4 linked regions of the Saccharomyces cerevisiae S288C genome follow. Changing the gene in region 4 together with the main gene of any one other region gives a genetic interaction. Each region holds a gene or a part of one and is shown on either strand. Other genes may lie near its edges.

The links.
Region 1: mutations in CBT1 (region 4) and PTP3 together harm fitness more than expected from each alone (negative genetic interaction), as found in Saccharomyces cerevisiae (2 studies listed by BioGRID).
Region 2: mutations in CBT1 (region 4) and MFB1 together harm fitness more than expected from each alone (negative genetic interaction), as found in Saccharomyces cerevisiae (2 studies listed by BioGRID).
Region 3: mutations in CBT1 (region 4) and TOF2 together harm fitness more than expected from each alone (negative genetic interaction), as found in Saccharomyces cerevisiae (2 studies listed by BioGRID).

Annotation. Positions count from the first base shown.
Region 1 is NC_001137.3:307,913-314,144, forward strand, and holds PTP3 (tyrosine protein phosphatase PTP3), read right to left. Parts: upstream 3,288-6,232; coding exon 501-3,287; downstream 1-500. Other genes in the region: YOS1 (Yos1p), read left to right, coding at 1-44, 156-211; YER076C (uncharacterized protein), read right to left, coding at 4,678-5,586. UniProt on the Saccharomyces cerevisiae protein: Major phosphatase responsible for tyrosine dephosphorylation of MAP kinases FUS3 and HOG1 to inactivate their activity; it also has important roles, along with MSG5, in the inactivation of FUS3 following pheromone stimulation.
Region 2 is NC_001136.10:904,955-909,397, reverse strand, and holds MFB1 (Mfb1p), read left to right. Parts: upstream 1-2,545; coding exon 2,546-3,943; downstream 3,944-4,443. Other genes in the region: GTB1 (Gtb1p), read right to left, coding at 1-2,068; septin SPR28, read left to right, coding at 4,346-4,443.
Region 3 is NC_001143.9:457,874-463,377, forward strand, and holds TOF2 (Tof2p), read right to left. Parts: upstream 3,367-5,504; coding exon 1,051-3,366; downstream 1-1,050. Other genes in the region: chromatin-associated RNAPIII regulator FPT1, read right to left, coding at 3,762-4,823.
Region 4 is NC_001143.9:44,501-48,472, reverse strand, and holds CBT1 (Cbt1p), read right to left. Parts: upstream 1,317-3,972; coding exon 501-1,316; downstream 1-500. Other genes in the region: ER membrane complex subunit EMC3, read right to left, coding at 1-279; ATP-binding cassette a-factor transporter STE6, read left to right, coding at 2,178-3,972. UniProt on the Saccharomyces cerevisiae protein: Involved in 5'-end processing of mitochondrial COB, 15S rRNA, and RPM1 transcript. May also have a role in 3'-end processing of the COB pre-mRNA.

The sequences.
Region 1 (6,232 bases), on a different chromosome or scaffold from region 4:
CAAGGTTGTTCAATTGATTGGCGCCGTACAGACATTACTGAGGAGTATGTTATGTTGATGGAGAACGGTTAAAGTTACATTTCATCAGTTTTTTCCCGTTCTTTTTCACCTTTTGTGAGAAAATTTTACTAACGTTTCGTATATTATTCTTGTAGTACCATTAATTGGAATAAATATACTGGTGATTGTTTATGAATTACTATTGGGATGAACTAAGCGTACGAAGCAAATATTACATACTACTATATACAAGAAACAGGCTCTAATAGTTTTTTTTTCCCTTCACCTTTTCGGTTTTAGCTTTATTATAAAAGATATGAACAAAACCTCCAAGGGTAGTGGTAGCATGGTATGTGAAATTAGAGAGTTCATGCATAACTTGAAATGAAAATAATACTCTGTTACGTAGCTAACTACTGCCAAATATGTATCGAAAATATCAATTATTAAGGGGTTTCGTATTAATAAAATAGAGATCAAATACATTCATATTAGCCTAACTATTGTGGCAATTCTTTCAACTTATCATCCACGAATGTCTGCAAGATCTCTAATTTTTCGATTTGTTCAATTAATGCACTTAATGATATATTGTCCTTGTTACTTCCATCACCATCCGTTCTCTCTGTTATGTCATCAAGACGTAATCTAAAGTAAAATAGCAAGCAGTCATAAATGAAAATAAATTGATTAATGTTCTGGACCATGGATATTCGTTGCTTTCTAAAAATATTAATTGTCCATGAAATTGGATCGAATAACTTTGCCGGGTATTTTAATTTAACAAACTCTTTCTGCAACATTTCAAACATTTCGAAATTGGATAGAATGGAATCAATGGTACACAAAGTACCAGTCCTTCCACAACCTGCGGAACAATGAACCAAAATGGTAGGAAGTTGGTCGTTTTGATAGTAATTTCTGGCAAATAGTGTATCTATTATGTGATTCTTGACATTGATTGCTTGTAAGATTGAGATAGGATTGAGTAAAGTGCCCAAATCAGGCCAATTTTTCACCTGAATCTGTAACAATTCATAAGGTTTCTCTTGATCATGATATGTTAGCAGAATTTTTCTTATGAGAATTGCGTCATCATCATCATCATCATCATCATCACAAGCAGCAGCAGTAACAGCAATATTACTATTGTTATTGTTATTATTATTGTTGTCATTATCATTATCATTATCAGTACTATAGTTACTACTATTTCCCTGAACACCAGCTGAATATAAACTACTATTTTGTGTTCCCATAGTATTTTTCCTCATGCTAGTAGTGCTAGGCATCTTTAATATTTTTTTTTCTAACAATTTAACGTGAATACCGTTATAATTACCTTCTTGCCAATATCGATAACATTTCTCAATGCCATTTTCGAAATCATTTGTCAATGAGAGAACCAACGGAACGCCATTATTCAATATGCATGTATAAAAGTCATGTACAGTGGAGGGCATTGGAGCTTGCGTCGCTATATAGCGCACTCTTCTTGTTGTGGTTGTAGTTGTTTGAAATGACGAATTTTGCTCTACAGAAAACCTTGGCAGAGACAAATAGTTTGCGTTGATATAATTGTCGAGGATGCCACCATCGGAAGTAGAATGTGAATGCTTGATACCTTTTGATGATTGCAAACCTTTTTTTAGAATCACTCTCGAATGCTCGTAGGGAAAAATATCCTTGTACCTGTTCTTGGCTCCTAATTCAACGCCTGATGATATTATAACGTCATCTGACTCCGAATCGGAATCTGATTCAAGGCTGAGCATCGATTTATATTTACTGTATTGAGTGAAGATTGGCTGAGAATGCGACCTCTTTTGTACTTTGTTCACGTCAGGAAATTTTGGAGGCATGATTGTTGAAGAAGAAGTTGATGTTAACTGTTCAGGATATGATGATGGCTTTTCAAGTATAAACGAGTTTTCCTTCTTCCTGAAAGAGACAGAATGGTTCAAGCGCCTTTTTTCCAAAAAATCTAATTTTTGAAACTGAGAAACCAACTCGATCTTGGGTATTGACATCAGATGCTGGAACCATTCAGGTATAACGGAGTCAATGACCTCCTTTTCGTAATTTTTGCTCAGGTTTTCGTATCTGATCTGAAACCCTAGTTTGTCTTTATTAGTGTCCTTTTCTAGAGAATTTTGGTTCTTTGGGAATTGGAAGTTTTGTAAAGATTTTTTGGCAGAATCGTTATTATACCATCTTTCATGTTCTTCTTTGATGTTGACTGCACTCAAATACGTCTCTAAACCCATTATTTCTTCATTTTGCGAAAATTTGAACATTTGGTTTATGTTTGTTTGTGGTGCAGGCAGCTGGAACTTAAATAAGGCAGATATGGGGGAAGAAGAAGACATGGGAGAATCTGATAGGACGTTACGCGGAGAGGGAGAACTGGAAAAGTTTGAATGATCTGACCTACTATCGTCAGGAACTTTCAACTTAAGGTTCATTTGCGGAGACGATAGTGGTGTTGTCGCCGTCATATGCGGCGCTGTGTTGTGTAGACTGTTCATAAGGTTTGTCTTGGGGCTTTTAGGTTCAGCCGAACTAATGCAATCTGAGTTAAATGTGTTGGTGTTTATATGGTCTGGAAATAGAATTTTGAATTGAGGAAAACCACACATTAGTATAGACACGGTTTTTTTAACATTAGTATCAAACTCTATTAGCTTGGACGCTATTCCATAACAAGGTAAAGAAACAGAACTTTCCGTTTGATTTGCGGTGCTATCATAAATGATAATCCGAAGGTTATCGATGGCCAGTTTAGATTTCAACACGCTTTGCTCGCTAGGAGTTAAGTTGTCCAAGAGTTTGGAAAAGGTGAAATTTTTCCTCCTCAGCAGCGTGGAAGGCAAACATACATGAATGGAGTTTGTGATAATGGATTTGGCATGTTCGGTAAACGGCCTAACATCAAGTAAGAGCACCTTTTCATCTGGTAAGGTTTCAATAATCTTGCCCAGTTCTACAGCAGTAATTAGCGAACAACCCTGCGGCTTATTATATCGCTGTTCCTTGGGCTTGAAGCTTGGCAGGACAGGAGCGGTCGCCCTCTTCAATAACACCGGCGAAGATGTCTTATAGCTCACCAAAGGGCTACTGGCTTTGGGGCTGTGGTATATGTTGCTGTTCATGCTGTTATGATAACTGTTCATAGGAGCATGCCTCGAATATACATGCGAACTCGATCCGACCAAAGTGCTAGTCTCGGAAAGCACTGAAGTGCGGTCGGTGGGTAGAATGCTTGGGCAGTCTACACTGTCCTTCATGTTCTATATGATAAGTAGATCTGTGTTGCTGATGGAGAAGGGAGATACAATACGGATTTTCTATGAACTTTGCAGTGATAAGAGCACCTACGCTATTATAACACCGATGTTAGAATAATATGCAAGTTTGTGGTCTGTGTATACAGTTCTTTGTTTGTGCTTGAAGTGATGATGTTACATGTCAAAGAAAGAAAACCGCTAAGGTCAATGAAAATATAGTGTTACATCCGCCGGTGCAAATGGCGAGGAGAAGATTGGACTCTTGCGCATCGAACACTACCTATCTGCATCCATCCATGCCAGGTGCGCAAACTGTTGGGTCTGGCTAACACCACATTCTCGCTGCGCTGTGTTCTCCGATGACGTTTTGCCGCAAAATATTTTTTTCATGAAGGTCTTTTCTTTTCGTTCAGCGTCAGCGGGCCCAAATCTCAAAGTCGCCGCCATTCTGTTTAATGTTTAAAGTTTCCGCTCACTACACCAAGATGGCAGCAGGAGATGCCAGAAAAAGCGTGGGGTCTGGTCTGGTTAGATATTAGAAGTACATACACATCGGTGGGTGTGTAGCAGTGGCGACACATAAAATGGCCATAATGGGGGTGATTTTACGTATAGCATACATAGACATCTGTCGTTGAGGTTCGCTACCAGTGAACGGATTTAACGAGCAAGCAGCGAAAGTAGCCGAAAACCTCTTATTGTTAATAGTCATTTAGCAGCCGTTCTGCTGCTGTTTTCCTGTGGGGTGAGGTGGGCTGTGATTCGGTAAACTCGCTTGCGGTCTAACAAAAACAGAGAAAAACTTGGTACAAAAAGATTTCATTGGACGCAACCGGAATCGAACCGATGACCTCTTCCTTGCAAGGGAAGCGCGCTACCAACTGCGCCATGTGCCCAGAATTTCTGTATGTGTTGGATCTCAACACGGGGTACCTCCGTATAAGCAATTTTAACCCGTAGATGATTTTAGAGTTTCGTTCCTACACGCATGAAAAAGGTAAGATTGAGTATGCCTAAGATGAACCAATCAAAGTTATAAATACCTGAAGAAATGAGTTTAGATCTGTTGGATGGTGAAACATAAAAAACAGAATGAGGAATAATCGTAATATTTTTATGTAGAAATATCAAGTCCATTGTAAGGATTCTAATATCCTCGAGGAGAACTTCTAGTATATTCTGTATACATAATATTATTGCCTTTATCAACAACGGAATCCCAACAATCATCTCAAAGTTCACCAAAAGTCTCAAGATCCGACTTAAATCTTATATAATATGTAGAATTGCCTGCAAAAGTGTACGATTTTACAATAAAAAACGTCGAATTAGCTTTTCGCATACGTCTCAACCAAGAGGAGAGCGGTAAAAATTATGGGAAACTCAATCGTTAACCTTGCGCCTGATCAAAACAATCATTAATAGCCATATTATTTTTATCAACTTCTGGACAGTCAATACTCCAGGGATAATAATGGGACCAAGCATCATTGGCAACTACTCTCAGCTCGGCACGCCAAGAATCACCGTGGCTATAGGTAACACAAAACGCTGTCTTGCCGTGATTGTGCATACTGGATACTGAAACACGAACTGCACATGTTAAATTTCCTTCAGAGGCTGTAATATCACAGCTACTGTTTGTTGACCACGTCTTGACAAACAAACTCCAACCCTCTTGCCCATCAAAAAAGATATTCGTGAACTCCTGGCTGCCGCAAAACTTCTTGTCACCGCTCCCGTGAACGGCCCATGCTACCCATTGCGCTATGTAGCTGTTCAAATTAGTCGTAAGAGTTGTGGAAGAGACGGCCCTATTGTACAACCTAGACCAAGTTCTTACCTCCACTCCGTAAAACTTGGCTCTACAGAGGGTAGATTCACCTGTTTCCTGGTTGCGGTTGTATTGCAGGTCTGCTGGTGTTTCCACAGAACCATCGACGGCTACATTAATGGCATTACTGATACTTATTGCCGTGACGTCATTTTGAAGTTGCTCGACGAGACTATGCTGAGTGAAGTTGGCTGCTTGGGTAGTTATATTACTGATAATGTTAGGGTATTCAGTAGCATCACGCTTGTTGAAGGACTCAGGTACAGTACCATTTGCAGTTAATCCTATCGTCTGGTAAAATTCAACCATAGAAACTGGAGCGATTGCCAAATCATCGTCCATTTGCCAGAATCCTGATGGCAAGCCCTGGCTTTCACCGCCCGTCAGGTAGATCTCAGCACGTGTGCATGCGCATAACAATAAGATCGCATAAAAAAATGAGACGGTATAGTATCCTGAGGTCATTTTTCTCCCTTGGATTGATTGCTTGCTTTTGTATCTTTCTTATAATAGTTCTTTCAGAAGAGCCCAATATGCGGTTATTATATAAGTTAAGTTACGGCTATGTGAAGATTTTGAATAATGTAAAACTGTTAGAAAGCATTGCCTCTTGTATAAGATGTGGTCGCATTACTTCAGTTAATGACTTGAACCAGTTTGTTTTTCAATCCACGGCTGTATTCTTCACTAATAAAACCGATTAGCGGGAGTCAGGGAAATAGAAAGAATATTTGCAAATGGAGCACCATTTTAGAATTAATTTTTTTTCAGTGCTCACAGGTTGATGATAATGACAAAATATTTTGTTCTTTAGAATTATTTACATATTGTTTAGAGATGAACGATTATTCACACTTATTACTATATTGGTTTAAAATGGTTAACAGTTTGCTCGAGATATCAACACAATCTAGTCTTACATAAAACTTTCTTTTTTGTCCCTGGAAATCTGGCGCAAACCCTTTTTCATAGGATTGACTTAAAATAGTTGAAGAGCGATTTCTCTTGCAAAAAAAGGTGCTAACCCTTCTTACTTTGGTTTATTTTCGTGTTGGAACAAGTAGTACAAAAATATACAGGCGAGTTGATATAATAACATTATGTGCGTTCT
Region 2 (4,443 bases), on a different chromosome or scaffold from region 4:
TCTTGTTGCAGCCTAGAGGACCAACGACATCGAAGATGTAGTTGCACTTAGTCGCTTCATGTACACTCCGAATCTTGAATTTGTCGCTGCACCGAACAAATACAGTAGCCGATCTGCGCGGACCATTCCAGCACTGGTCTCCATTTTCGTATTCTAGTACCAGACCATTATTCAGTTCGTTTAAGTTCCCGAATACGTAATGTTGCATGTTACCGTCATCGTCCTGTATAGCTGCTAAGTTTGAAATCAAATCACTCTTCTCATCATATGTGGCCTTTAAATGTTCTGCGTATTTTTCCATGTTTAAGTCAACATTAAAACCTGATGTCTTAAAACGACCGATCAAAACTTTTTTACCGTCAACCTTATCCTCAGCTTGATATATGACACCTTCGGTCATTGGACGTTGAAAGCATATAGTGTACACATAGTTGTCCAGTATGTCGTCAAGACAATAGGATTGTGATCCCATTAGTTCTAAAAGCTCAGTCAGATTTCCTGCAGTAGAATTAGTTCCTTCATCTTCAGTTTCATCTAATAATTTCTTATAGTCCATTTTTTGCTTTAATTCATTCTCCAGGAGACTGACTTGACTTTCACAAGAGCGGAATCTCTTCTCTAATGAGACCAAATCTTTTCTAGATGAAAAAATATTCAGCTTAGATAGAATCTCTTTGAGTTTATTGCGCAAATCTCCAGAAGTACCGATATGATCGCTGTTCGTATCTTGTTCTGACTCAACAGCGTCTGGTGGCAATACCTTTGGTGCATTCTCGTTCACAAATGATGTTACTTCGCTCAACGATCTCAAAAGGCTCTCTGACGGGTGAGCTGGTTCTAATTCAGCCAGTTCGCCGTATTCACCTAGGTAGTTTTTATACGAATCGACAGCACTTTTGACCCCTGCATCTTGAAAGTTAACATTGTAATTCTGAGAAATATCATCCATAATCAAACGGAATTCTCTGATATACTCCAAGATATCGTTGGTATAGTTAATTTTACCCTCCACTAGCGCTTGAACAAAATTGGATTTTCCTATGACGTACCTCAACGTGTTCTCAGATTCTCTTTTCAAAAAAATTTGAGGTACTTCTTCTGTAAAGTACAAGTAAAGATTATCTGCCTGCTCATCATCAATTTTGCTATCTGCATTAATTTTAGCCTTTTCAGCCCGTCTTCTAACTTTTCTGAATTTTTTAATATTATCATTGACAACTTTATCATTTAGCGAGGGAGTATAGGCCTCTGATAAATCACTTAAAATCTTGAATATGTCCTGGTAACCTTTACTTACTCTTGAAACCATAGTGAACGATGTAAGGATGTCCGATCCCAAACGAGTACTGTTTAATTGTTCAAATTGATACAAAATGGGATCATGGCTTAATTGGTTAAAGTACTCGCCTCTCAACTGCTCTAATTTGGCTCGATTTTCTGAGAGCCTGTTGGAGAGTACTTTTATCTCGGCAGAAGCTTTTTCCTTATCTTCTTCTAAGCAATTACCACGGGTGATAGCCTCTTCCTTTGTACCGTATTTTCTTTCCAGTTCTTCTAGGGCCTCTTTACCTTCCCGGTAACTTGATAACTCTTTAGAGGCCATAATGTCAAATTCGTTTTTTAACTGAGAACAATTAGATCCAGCATCAAAGAGCTCATATCCAGAAAGTAGCTCGTCAGAACAGTCACAGCAGTCACAAATACCATCTGCGACTTCCGATTTTCGTATATATCTTGGAATAAACCCCTTGTTATCACAATAAAAATACTTATTCACTTTACCACCTCCCTCTGCAACGCTTTTGAATATATCTTCCACGCAGGCGGCGCTGCCGGGCTCATCTGAACCATCAGGACAATCACAAACCCCATCATTAATCTGGCTTATATCCAATACGATATCTTCGTGGTTCAAACAGTGCCATTTAGTCAAATCTGGTTCATTCGAGTCATACAAGTGCTGCTTTTCCCAGGGAACACCCACTATATGCCGTTGACTTTGTTGCAATGACGCTACAAGCGGCGATTGCTCAATTAATAGCAGAAATAATGAGAACATGCTCACCATAGCGAATCTTCTTAATGAAATAGCAGAAGTGCCTTTATGCTTCTTAAATGCAGTGCGGAAGCCTCTGCTTCTACCATAACATCTTCCAACACAGTCTTCATACACTATTATTATTCATTTTATGGCCGGGTAAGTATTTTAAAAGGCATTGGCAATACCCGTTTTGTTTTGACCCAAACAACTGTTTATCATTATTCCTGGTGCTGTCTTCTTAGAAACTATAAACGCTTGTGCACCTACCCAGTATTTAACCAGTTGGGAGGAGATAACAATATTTACTTACTTTTTCACAAAATAGGAAAAGGAAAGTTATACTTTGCTATAGTTTAAACAAAGGGAAAGTTTTCAAATAACCAAGGAGTCTCTGTTACTACTTGCTAAATATCCTCATACAAAATATCAAAACAAATTGGCCAAACTGCACAAGGAAAGTTCACTTTTGTTCCAGAATTAGTTATAGTTCCTTCAACCACATAGATGACATTATTTTCTTGTAGTGTACAGATGCCGCTGGAGGAAAGGTCCCTGACAAACTTACCATTAAACCTATTGTTCCGAATATTGTCTCACCTGGATATGAATGATTTACAAAACATAGGGAAAACTTGCACCTTGCTAAGGATGCTGGCGAATGAGAACATTGTTTACAGAAATGCTGTTATCGGCTCAAACGGGAATATGTGGTGGACAAAAAATGTTCTTGTTGATGTCTTTGATGTTTTGAATTTTAATAGAAAGGCAATGAAAACCTTAAATAGTCACAACATATCCCTGGTCGCATCATTAAGAAATGTTCAGCGGAAATATAAACTAGGCGTTATTGATCCGGCTAGAAAGACAATAAGTTATAGAACAAATGAAGTTGAGAGCAAAGAAAAGGGCTCTGTGAAAGATTTAAATATGGATTTGAACGAACCTACAGAAATAACAAGGGAGCAAATCGCTCATACTGCAATACTACAAGGAATGAATCAATTCATCGAACTCAATGATAAAGCATTTAGGACCCATTCAGCGGATTCTGATGATACATACATAGAGGAGAATAATGGAGAAATACATTCTCTCCACGGATTGGAAAAAAATACAACATTTGAAGAAGACTTAGTCAAAAAGCCACCTTTTATCCCTTCTCCGACATTTTCTAATTATTCTAGAAGTTCAACAAATTCTGTATTTTCAAGTTCATCGCCCAAACTACTGGACGATGATTGGAATAATATTACAATGGATTTCACTAAGTCACGAGATCCTGATTATAAAGAGATGACGCCTACATCTACTGAATCGTCTGACTCAATCACAAGATTGAGAAAATCTAATAAAGTCAAGGATAAAGCCGAACTTTTTGAGAAGTTAATTTTTAGAGATAGCAGACCATTAAAAACAAAGAAAAAGGACAATCCAAGATTGAAATTATCCAGTTCGTTAAGTGCTAATGACGAAGATTTTAGGAAAATCATAAGTCCCCCTTCTGACATACTACCGAAAGTTGGCAGAAGGAGCGTCTCAAGAGGTTATTTAGAGGAGATTGAAAGGCATTATCCCGATTTTAACGGTGAAACAACTAATCCTCTAGCAATTAAAAGAGTCAACAGTACAAAGATAGCAAATTATGAACAATTAATTATAAAAGAAAATAGCTCGAACTGTAAAGGAATAACAGAGAAAAATGATGAAAATAAATTTCAAAGAAGTCACACTTCCCCAGTAATAGAATTATCCAAACCTCATCAAAGAAGCAAATTAAAGGCGGTTGTTACAGACGGTAATAAGATATGCTATCGCAAAATCGAATTGGATAACCCTAGTGGGTCGAATACGAATGATCATGTAATCAAACGGCTTGACGCTAATACCGATTTTAATATATAACAGAAAACGCCTCAAACCGACTTTGCTTGGAAGAGTTTTCTCTGAATTAGCAACGGAACTTCGAAATGGTTTTAGACAAGCATGCATGGTATGTAGAAACAGTTAAAGAGCGCCGCTACCATTTGCACAGATGTACATATAAATAAATGACTTATTTTTTATATTCTATCAATAATAAGACAATTTGTGGTTGCCTTTAGAAATTTCGTGGCTTTTTTTCATATATTCTAACTTCAATAAAGTTTTTTTGATGCGAAATTTGATCGCTCATATTAAGGACGCCTGAAAAAGACATGCGTCTACATTTTGTGTCATTCCCATAAGAATAGTAAGAACAGGCATTTTTATAAATCGATACAAAAAAAGAGCTACTATACGTACATAAAGTCAGTAAATAATCAAATGTTCCCAATGAAAGATCACTCAGCTCTTGAACAACATACTCTCAGCAGAGATGAGTTAAGACGTCGCAAGGGTTACAAGAAAGGACTGCAGTTGTC
Region 3 (5,504 bases), 410 kb from region 4:
TAGTCACATGATCGTTGATTATTATTCCAATACAAATTTTGTGTAAAGTCACTCTTTCCCCTTCTGAATGGTGCATTCGTGAAAGAATTTTCGATATTGTTGTATTGTAAACTAGGAATCAAAGGTATCGTTCTATAATGAGAGAAGTATTAAAGGCACGCACTGATCGATTGTATCAGATATGACTATAGCTTTAGTGTTTAGAGTCATCTCTTCATACATATAAATGTTGCAATAAAAATCAACTAATATCTATGTTGTCATATTGAGAAATGGGTGAATGTTGAGATAATTGTTGGGATTCCATTGTTGATAAAGGCTATAATATTAGGTATACAGAATATACTAGAAGTTCTCCTCTCCGGTCTAGGAATCCCCAAAATGGAATCTATATTTCTACATACTAATATTACGATTATTCCTCATTCCGTTTTATATGTTTCATTATCCTATTACATTATCAATCCTTGCACTTCAGCTTCCTCTAACTTCGATGACAGCTTCTCATAACTTATGTCATCATCTTAACACCGTATATGATAATATATTGATAATATAACTATTAGTTGATAGACGATAGTGGATTTTTATTCCAACACATATAAAGTTTAGAAAGATGACATAAAGATTAACTTAATACATGACTGGGTATACTTGAATTCTAAAATTTTCAACAAATAAGTGGTTGTTTGGCCGAGCGGTCTAAGGCGCCTGATTCAAGAAATATCTTGACCGCAGTTAACTGTGGGAATACTCAGGTATCGTAAGATGCAAGAGTTCGAATCTCTTAGCAACCATATTTTATATTTTTTTATATTGTGTTCAACAATGAACAATAATGACGAATAATCCAGAATGATATAAACGTCCATGAATAAAAGTCCGTTATAATCATATATAATTGATGCATACCGTACGCTATTAGTTCTCTTTTGTTGGTTGCTTTTGAAGATTTAATTATGATATCATTAACCAGTCTAAAAAATTACTACAATTCGCCAAGAATATTTAAGATATGGTTGAGAGATCCCAACATAATTACTGACAGACTTACTGGTCGTCTTCATCACTTTCAACATATTTAGGTGTTTGGTACTTCTTTGTATTTATTTCATTGTCATCCACATCCAGCATTGGTTTTCCATTAGAATTTCCAGCTGGTCCATGACTTGTTTTGAAATTAATTTTTTTAACTTGCACGTTCCTCGAATCAGAATCATCATCCGAATCATCTGAGGAAGAGCTATCCAATGAAGATTCAAGTGACATGGAAGAAGAAGAAGAAGGTGAAGAATGCGACCTGGTAACCTTGACTTTCTTGAGCTGCGGTGTTCTTTCTAAACTGGACGGTATCGCTTGGCCATTTTTTCTTTTTCCAGGAGTTGAATTCATAACTGGCAACTTGGGTGAGACTTGTTCTTGTTCCTGAGCCGTACTATTAGAAGTTGCCTCCACTTTGTCTTTACTATTATCAACAGGATCTCTCATTAATTTGACTACTTTTATGGTCGAAGCTGCATTTGGCGGTTTCCCAGCATTGGCAAAAATATCTTTTAGGGATCTATTCCCCATATTTCTTTTTCTTTTAAACTCTATAACTTTCGATCCAACATCATCAGTTTTTCGTTTCACTTTTATTTTACCAAATTTTGCGAATTTCTCACCGGAAATAATGGTATTGGGATCATCAAAGTGCTTTGTTTCCAGACTTACCCCTTTTGAAGTTATGGATTTGGGTTTATCTTTCTTCATTATTCCAAATTTTCCGTAATATGGTTCCGTAATACTATTCCTTTTTTGGACCTTAGTTTCCCCAGTTGGCTTGAACCTATTTAGTTTCCGAATAGTTTCTTGTATTTTTACGTCTTTTGCATGCGAAGTAGATGACGCAGCACCCAATGATTTATCAGGAAACTCCTTCTCAACAAGTCGAAATAGGGCTTCCTTACCTTGACTTTGATGTAACCGATTATTCAATTCTTTTTCAGGAAAAAAGGGAGGAGAAACAACATTTTTGGTACTTTGAGTACTTTGTACTGCATTTTCAATATCACTGTTGAATGAAACGCTATCCAAGTCGGAATTGATATCCCGAAATCCCATCGATGCCTTCTTAGAATTGTTGATAAACGAATCCGCACGATCATTATCGGTTTCATTAAAATCCTCTTCATCTGAAAATGCTTCTATCCTTCTACAATTCTCACCTATATCTTTGTCGTTCAATGGCAGATCATCACCTTTTTTGTTTTGAACTTTAATTTCTAAGGAACTCTTCCTGGGACTATGAGCACCACTAGAGGGGTTAGAATATTGTATATGCATATCAGAATTAGTATGAGAAGTAGTGCTCAATTGGAAGTCGGTATCAATCGAATCAAACGAAATTTGAGGGGAGTTTTCATCTGCGGGTTCATAATCAGCATCTTCTGACGAATTGCGTAAAAGATCTAAATCCTTTGATTCGGCCCTTTTAGCGCCATCATTTTTCTGTTGTTGAGTGGATGAAGGTATATTTTCTTTATTGTTATCACTCCCTTGCGTTACAACTCCCTCTTTAGCACGAGCGTGATCTTTTACGTCTTTGTGTACATTTGATGCCACTACTGTGGAAGTAAGTGGCATGGGACACTTTTCTTTATTCAGTGCATCATACTTGCTTGCAAGCGGTAGAATTTCGTTCATTAGCGGCGTTGATACTCTTGATTTATTAATGAAGTTATTCTTGAGCGAGCTTTTAGCTATTAGATGCATTGTATCTTTATTTGATATAGAAGATAAGTCTTCCTTAGAGATCTTTTTTCTCTTTTCAGTAACGATGGATTTTGTGGATGGCTTGTTGTCCTGCCGTCTCCGCTGTCTTGCCAATTGTAAAAGTGAAATATGTTGATTTCTACTCCAGTCTAATTCATCTTTTAAAATTACCAAAACCACACCATCATTTTCAAATACGTCTTTTATTATAAATTCAGAGTCCAAATCACAACCATGCCTATCTTGTAGAGATACGATTTCAATGGATTCTTTGAAATTTGGATAAAGTCTATCAAATTTAGTTAAAATTTCATTAGATAGTTGTAAAAGGGTATTGTCACCGTCCGTAAAATGTAAAAACTTTTTACAATTCGGGAGGTAGTTAATGAAATCACTACTACGATTCGACTGAATAGAATTTTGCGAAGACGGGCTCGTAGGAGAGGGGTCGCTACAGTTATTGATACTGTTGTTGTGCGTAATTATATCTTCATTATACTGGACCATAGGAGACACTGATTGTGGAGTATTCAAGCGTGCTTCGAGAAATGTGATAATATCTTGAGCACTTGGCGGCACCAGTACAATCTGTAACCTCCACATTTTTATCATTTACTTATTTGAACCAAACACCAAGGAGGGCAAAGGATATTATAAGAAATGTGGCAAAAGATTGGCGTATTTATTGAATGCTTGTATAATTGGGTAGCTAACCAAAAATGACTTGTTTTCCTTCTTCAGCGAAACTAATAAATAAACAAACAAACAAATTAGGACCATCTTGCATTTGAGATCTGAAGAATATGAAAAAAATTATATAACAGTATCGTATAATGCGACTTTTTTTCGTGATGCCTATGTAACAATAGTAGAGAAAAAACAGGTCACATTTCTATAAATGATTGAATAATTGGTTCTATATACGTACATACTTTTGGAGTTTTACTTTTATTCTCTTGATTTAATGGATGTAGATGCTATAAAAAGACATGTTTTCCCGGAAATAGTTAAAATGATATTTTGCCATTTTTATGCGGATGATGGCTATTAGGAGGGTTTTTAGTGATTTTTTTTTTTTCCACAAGCTGAAATTTTCGAGGTCTTTGTCTCGACCAGGCTCTCAAGTCAAAAGTTTCATAGTCTTCGGCCATCAATTTAAAATAGCTTTCAAAATTTGACTTGATCAGATCGTTTGTAGCACTTGAATGCATGAAATTCACGTTTGGTTTAGACTCAGGACCTTTATAGATGTAGTCTGTCGAGACAGCCTCATCATCGGTACTCAAAGATGAAGGAGACAGCGAATTTACCGGAGAAAAATGTCTTGATTCGCTTTCCAGAGATGCGGAAGGCTCATTGTTTGAGCACGATGCCAAACTATTTTCCTTAAGATTTTGTTCCTGGATGTTATACTTTTTCTTCATCGAGTTATGATAATTTTTTAAAGTTGTTGTCAAAAGTCGCTTATTCGATAAAACTTTGGTCTTTATGATAGCAATAGAAACAATATTTTTGAAGTTATCGAAAACCTCCATGTTGAACTGTTCCTGTTTTTTCTTTTGTTTGGCAATGCTTTGACATATTTTATCATATTGAGACCAAAATTGTTCAACGTTTAGTTTTGAGAGATCTCTATTCATTTTTTCTAGACAATTTTGTAACCAGGCCCGTTTATCATAATTTTTAAATCGTTGATCATTCTGGAAAACCTCCTTCCAGGAAGTGTTCTTAACCACGTTAGCGTCGTTATCCACGTACAACAAGGCAGACAACTTATTTAATTGCCAACGACCATCAGATTTCCAAATGAAAAAGGTGTCACTTATTTCTTCATATTCGAGAATGTAGAAATGGGGAATACAATTCGGCTTCAAATATGCGGGTGCACAATCTATCTTCAAATTTTCTGTTATGGTCTCAGAAGTTTGCAACTCAATCCCGTACAATTCTTGAATAGAATGCACGAACTTGATAACCTGAGTTAAAGTGAGACCTTCCTTAATACAGGTCAATTTAACACGTGGTTGTTCTTCACCAGCGTATAAGTAAACGGTTTCTAACTTGGACATGGTTTCCTTTCTTTGTACTTGGTATTTCTTCTTCTTTTTCTAGCTGTCTGTATGAGTACTTAACTGTAACAGAATAGTAATGGGTTCAGGCTAAATCTCTTTAATTATGGCACCTTTATGCTGATATAAATCCCTATACATTTCTTAGGGGTGTGTTTTGGTTTTTGGTCTCATAGTTTTGACAGCACGTTGGAACGCCACTCATGCCTTAAAAGGCCGGGTAATGATTTATAGTCCAATTATATCACAGCACTACAAGACGTCAAAAATTCACGGCGGCAAAAGGTCTGTAACTACCTAAACATTAAAAGCCTTTGAGCTATAAATCATTATGTACACTGAGAATGCCACATGCTAAAACAAGGAAGTTTTCAGCGAAGTAGCACATTAACTGACCACTCAATAGAAAGAAAACAGAAAGTGGAATGGATGGCCACTTTCATGTTATCAGTGGTGATTACTTGATGACAAAATAACGCTATTCGAGAGCGAGCTATAATTCTTGACCAACTGGCTCGACCTTCTTCGTCATACTGTAGATCAAAATTCTACCATTACTGGATTCTTTTTTTTTTTTTTTTTTTTTTGGGCTAGCTATGAACGTTTCCTAGTCCCGCTCACGCATTCTAGTTCTGCATTGGGTAAAAGAAAGCATATCATTAAGCGGCAGTTTCGGGTCGT
Region 4 (3,972 bases):
CTGCTTGGCCTTGGCTAGGTGCCTTTCCTCAGTGAGATCCTTAACTAGAAATTCCTTCTTCGCAGCAAATGCATCGGAAGACAGGTTCCCACCGTTTCCAATCAATAATTGTGCCCATTGTAGATATTGCCATTCAGTTAACTTTACCCTTGGTTGTGCTTCATTTGCACTGCTTCCCGTTATAAGTGTCATGATGTACTGTTTGAGTACACCCGTCAAAACCATGACAATCGAAATAGGTAACAGGACCCAATACTTCAGCTGGTCATCTAATAACATCTGCGGCGCCCTAGCTTGTTGAATACTGCTTGTTGTTTTGTCTATTCTGTTGAAGAGAAGTTGTTGTAAATGCTGGTTAATCGTCATTCTTTAACATCACAATGCTTTATTATACCTCTTCGTTCTTAGTGAGATGGCGGAAGCCAGTGCTATAGTCACCAAATAATACGCATTATATATGGATATGTACAGTTCGCAGATCTTTATGGCATATTTATCGTTTACAACCGTCTTCTGGTGAATATGAGCCAGTTGTGACCCCCATGATCCGTGACGGAAGGTGAGGTAATTCGGTTCGTCGCCAATTGACTCAGTAAAAGCTTAACTTGCGACTTGATACGCGTGCTCTGATCCAACGGTTCATCCTTCTTGTTATTTCGTGCTATTTTTAACAGCTTCCAGTAGTTTAAATTGCGGTACATTCTCGAGGATTCTTCCAATAAAGGCTGGATATAAGAGACTGCTTCGCTCATTTCAGTGTCTTGATCACCACCGTTGCTTATCAGGGAACGTTTGCAGCCGAAATTTATATTTATACCAATGGTATGCAATTTCAATCTTACTGGAACGTTTGGCATGCTGTTGAATAAGATCAGTTGCGAGAGAGATGGGATGTCCTGAACTGTCTGAAACATGCACCTGTATTCATGTTCTGACTCGCTCGGATCAGTCAGGAAATCAAGTCCCAAACAGTGACCCAACGCTGAGTTTGTCAACTTCCTCTTCATAAAGACTGTCGGTAGTTTGTCGTTTATTGCTCCTTTAGATATGCCCTCTGTTATGAATTCCTTCCATAAAGAGGGGAGATTGTAGGAAGAATCGACAAGACTACCAGCGCCACTGTTTTCCCAGTCGTAAAGCACGAAGGTGTTGTATTCATTCAAGTATTCTTGATATTTGCTTTCACGTAGTTTGTAATTTATCTTCCGCTTTAGGGCAAAACGTTGTTTGCTGGATACATTTCCATACCTAAGCACAAACTTCGGCGTTTTAAGAACTTTCGAAACCTCACTACTATGACTTCCATAGCTCACCATTTTTTCCTTGCAATATTTCTCTCTCCTTTGTTTAATGCTTCTTTACCCAAAAGCGCAGTAAACTTCTGATCAATCAATAAGACGAAACTTGAGAAAACGAAAAATCGAAGAAATATTATATATAGATAGTTGTGGCTGAATAATATATATCTGTTCAAACGTTTTAACGCGCGATAGAAAAAAGATCTCGCTGCTAACTTTTTGAATAACCATTACTACTTTTCCAAGCTATAGGCAAATGGCACCTGCTTCATTTTTAAGGTCATTTTTGCTAAATGTATCATCTTCAAAATAGATAAATCTGTAAAGTATAGCGGAGCCACAAATTTAGCAGGTATAAAAATTACTCAGCCCTTTTGGCCAAGTGGTAAGGCATCGCACTCGTAATGCGGGGATCGTGGGTTCAATTCCCACAGAGGGCATTTGAAATTTTATTTTCTATTTTTTAATTTTTATATATAATATATATAACGCGACATAGCTGTTATTACCTACTAGTAATATCCTCTCTTTTTTCAAACAATGATGGTCCTTGCACTGACAAATATGTTCCTTTCCTTTTTCTTTTCTCTATTCTGCCACTATACAATTTATTGTTTTCCACAAAGGGTAAAGGTACTTTAAGAAAATAGTTTCTTATTTTTTTTGCCATGTAATTACCTAATAGGGAAATTTACACGCTGCTTCGCACATATACAATTGTTTCAGATATGAAAACTGTTGCATTATTGCCGTTCATCATTTAAATACCAGAGCTTATAAACCTGGATATGGCTGAACTATCTCCCGTTGTTACGTTCACACAGAGAGCTTTCAAGTGCCGCTGAAAATTCCACTAGGAAACAAAGAACAAGCTACGTCATGAACTTTTTAAGTTTTAAGACTACAAAACACTATCACATTTTCAGGTACGTGAACATACGGAATGACTACAGGCTGTTAATGATAATGATAATAGGTACCGTGGCAACAGGCCTAGTGCCGGCAATTACTTCTATCCTGACGGGCAGAGTGTTCGATCTACTATCAGTTTTCGTGGCTAATGGGTCACATCAAGGTTTGTATTCCCAACTAGTACAGAGGTCAATGGCAGTAATGGCACTTGGTGCGGCTTCTGTGCCAGTAATGTGGCTTTCTCTAACAAGTTGGATGCACATCGGCGAGAGACAAGGCTTTAGAATACGGTCACAGATATTGGAGGCATATTTGGAGGAAAAGCCAATGGAATGGTACGACAATAATGAAAAATTGTTAGGAGATTTTACTCAAATCAACAGATGTGTGGAAGAGCTAAGATCAAGCTCCGCAGAGGCATCAGCCATAACTTTCCAGAATTTAGTTGCAATATGTGCGCTTCTGGGGACGTCATTCTACTATTCTTGGTCATTAACTTTAATTATTCTTTGCAGCTCTCCAATAATCACATTTTTTGCAGTGGTGTTTTCCAGAATGATTCATGTATATTCAGAGAAGGAGAATTCTGAAACGAGTAAAGCAGCCCAATTACTTACATGGTCGATGAATGCCGCTCAATTAGTGAGATTATATTGTACACAACGTCTAGAAAGGAAAAAATTCAAGGAAATCATACTAAATTGTAACACTTTCTTCATCAAGAGTTGCTTTTTTGTTGCTGCAAACGCTGGGATCTTGAGATTTTTGACGTTGACTATGTTTGTACAGGGATTCTGGTTTGGTTCCGCAATGATCAAAAAGGGCAAGCTGAACATTAACGATGTAATCACTTGCTTCCATTCATGCATTATGCTGGGCTCGACTTTAAATAATACATTACACCAAATAGTTGTTCTTCAAAAAGGCGGAGTGGCTATGGAAAAAATCATGACTCTATTAAAAGATGGATCCAAGCGAAATCCTTTAAATAAAACTGTAGCCCACCAATTTCCACTAGATTATGCCACCAGTGATCTAACATTTGCTAATGTTTCGTTTTCTTATCCAAGCAGACCTTCGGAAGCAGTTTTAAAGAACGTTAGTTTAAATTTCTCTGCAGGACAATTTACTTTCATAGTAGGAAAATCAGGCTCAGGTAAATCTACATTATCCAACTTATTATTAAGGTTCTACGATGGCTATAATGGATCGATATCTATCAATGGCCACAATATCCAAACAATCGACCAAAAATTGCTAATTGAAAATATCACCGTCGTAGAACAGCGTTGTACCCTATTTAATGATACTCTTAGAAAAAATATTCTTTTAGGTTCAACAGATTCGGTAAGAAATGCCGATTGCAGCACCAATGAAAATAGACATTTAATCAAAGATGCCTGTCAAATGGCTCTTCTGGATAGATTTATTCTAGACCTTCCCGATGGACTGGAAACATTAATTGGGACTGGGGGTGTCACACTAAGTGGCGGGCAACAACAAAGAGTTGCTATAGCACGTGCATTCATCAGAGATACTCCAATATTATTCTTAGACGAAGCTGTATCGGCTCTAGATATTGTTCATCGCAACCTGTTGATGAAGGCAATTAGGCATTGGAGGAAAGGAAAGACTACAATCATATTGACGCATGAGTTGAGCCAAATTGAATCTGATGACTATTTATATTTAATGAAGGAAGGTGAAGTTGTTGAAAGCGGCACCCAGTCTGAACTTCTAGCCGATCCGACCACTACATTTA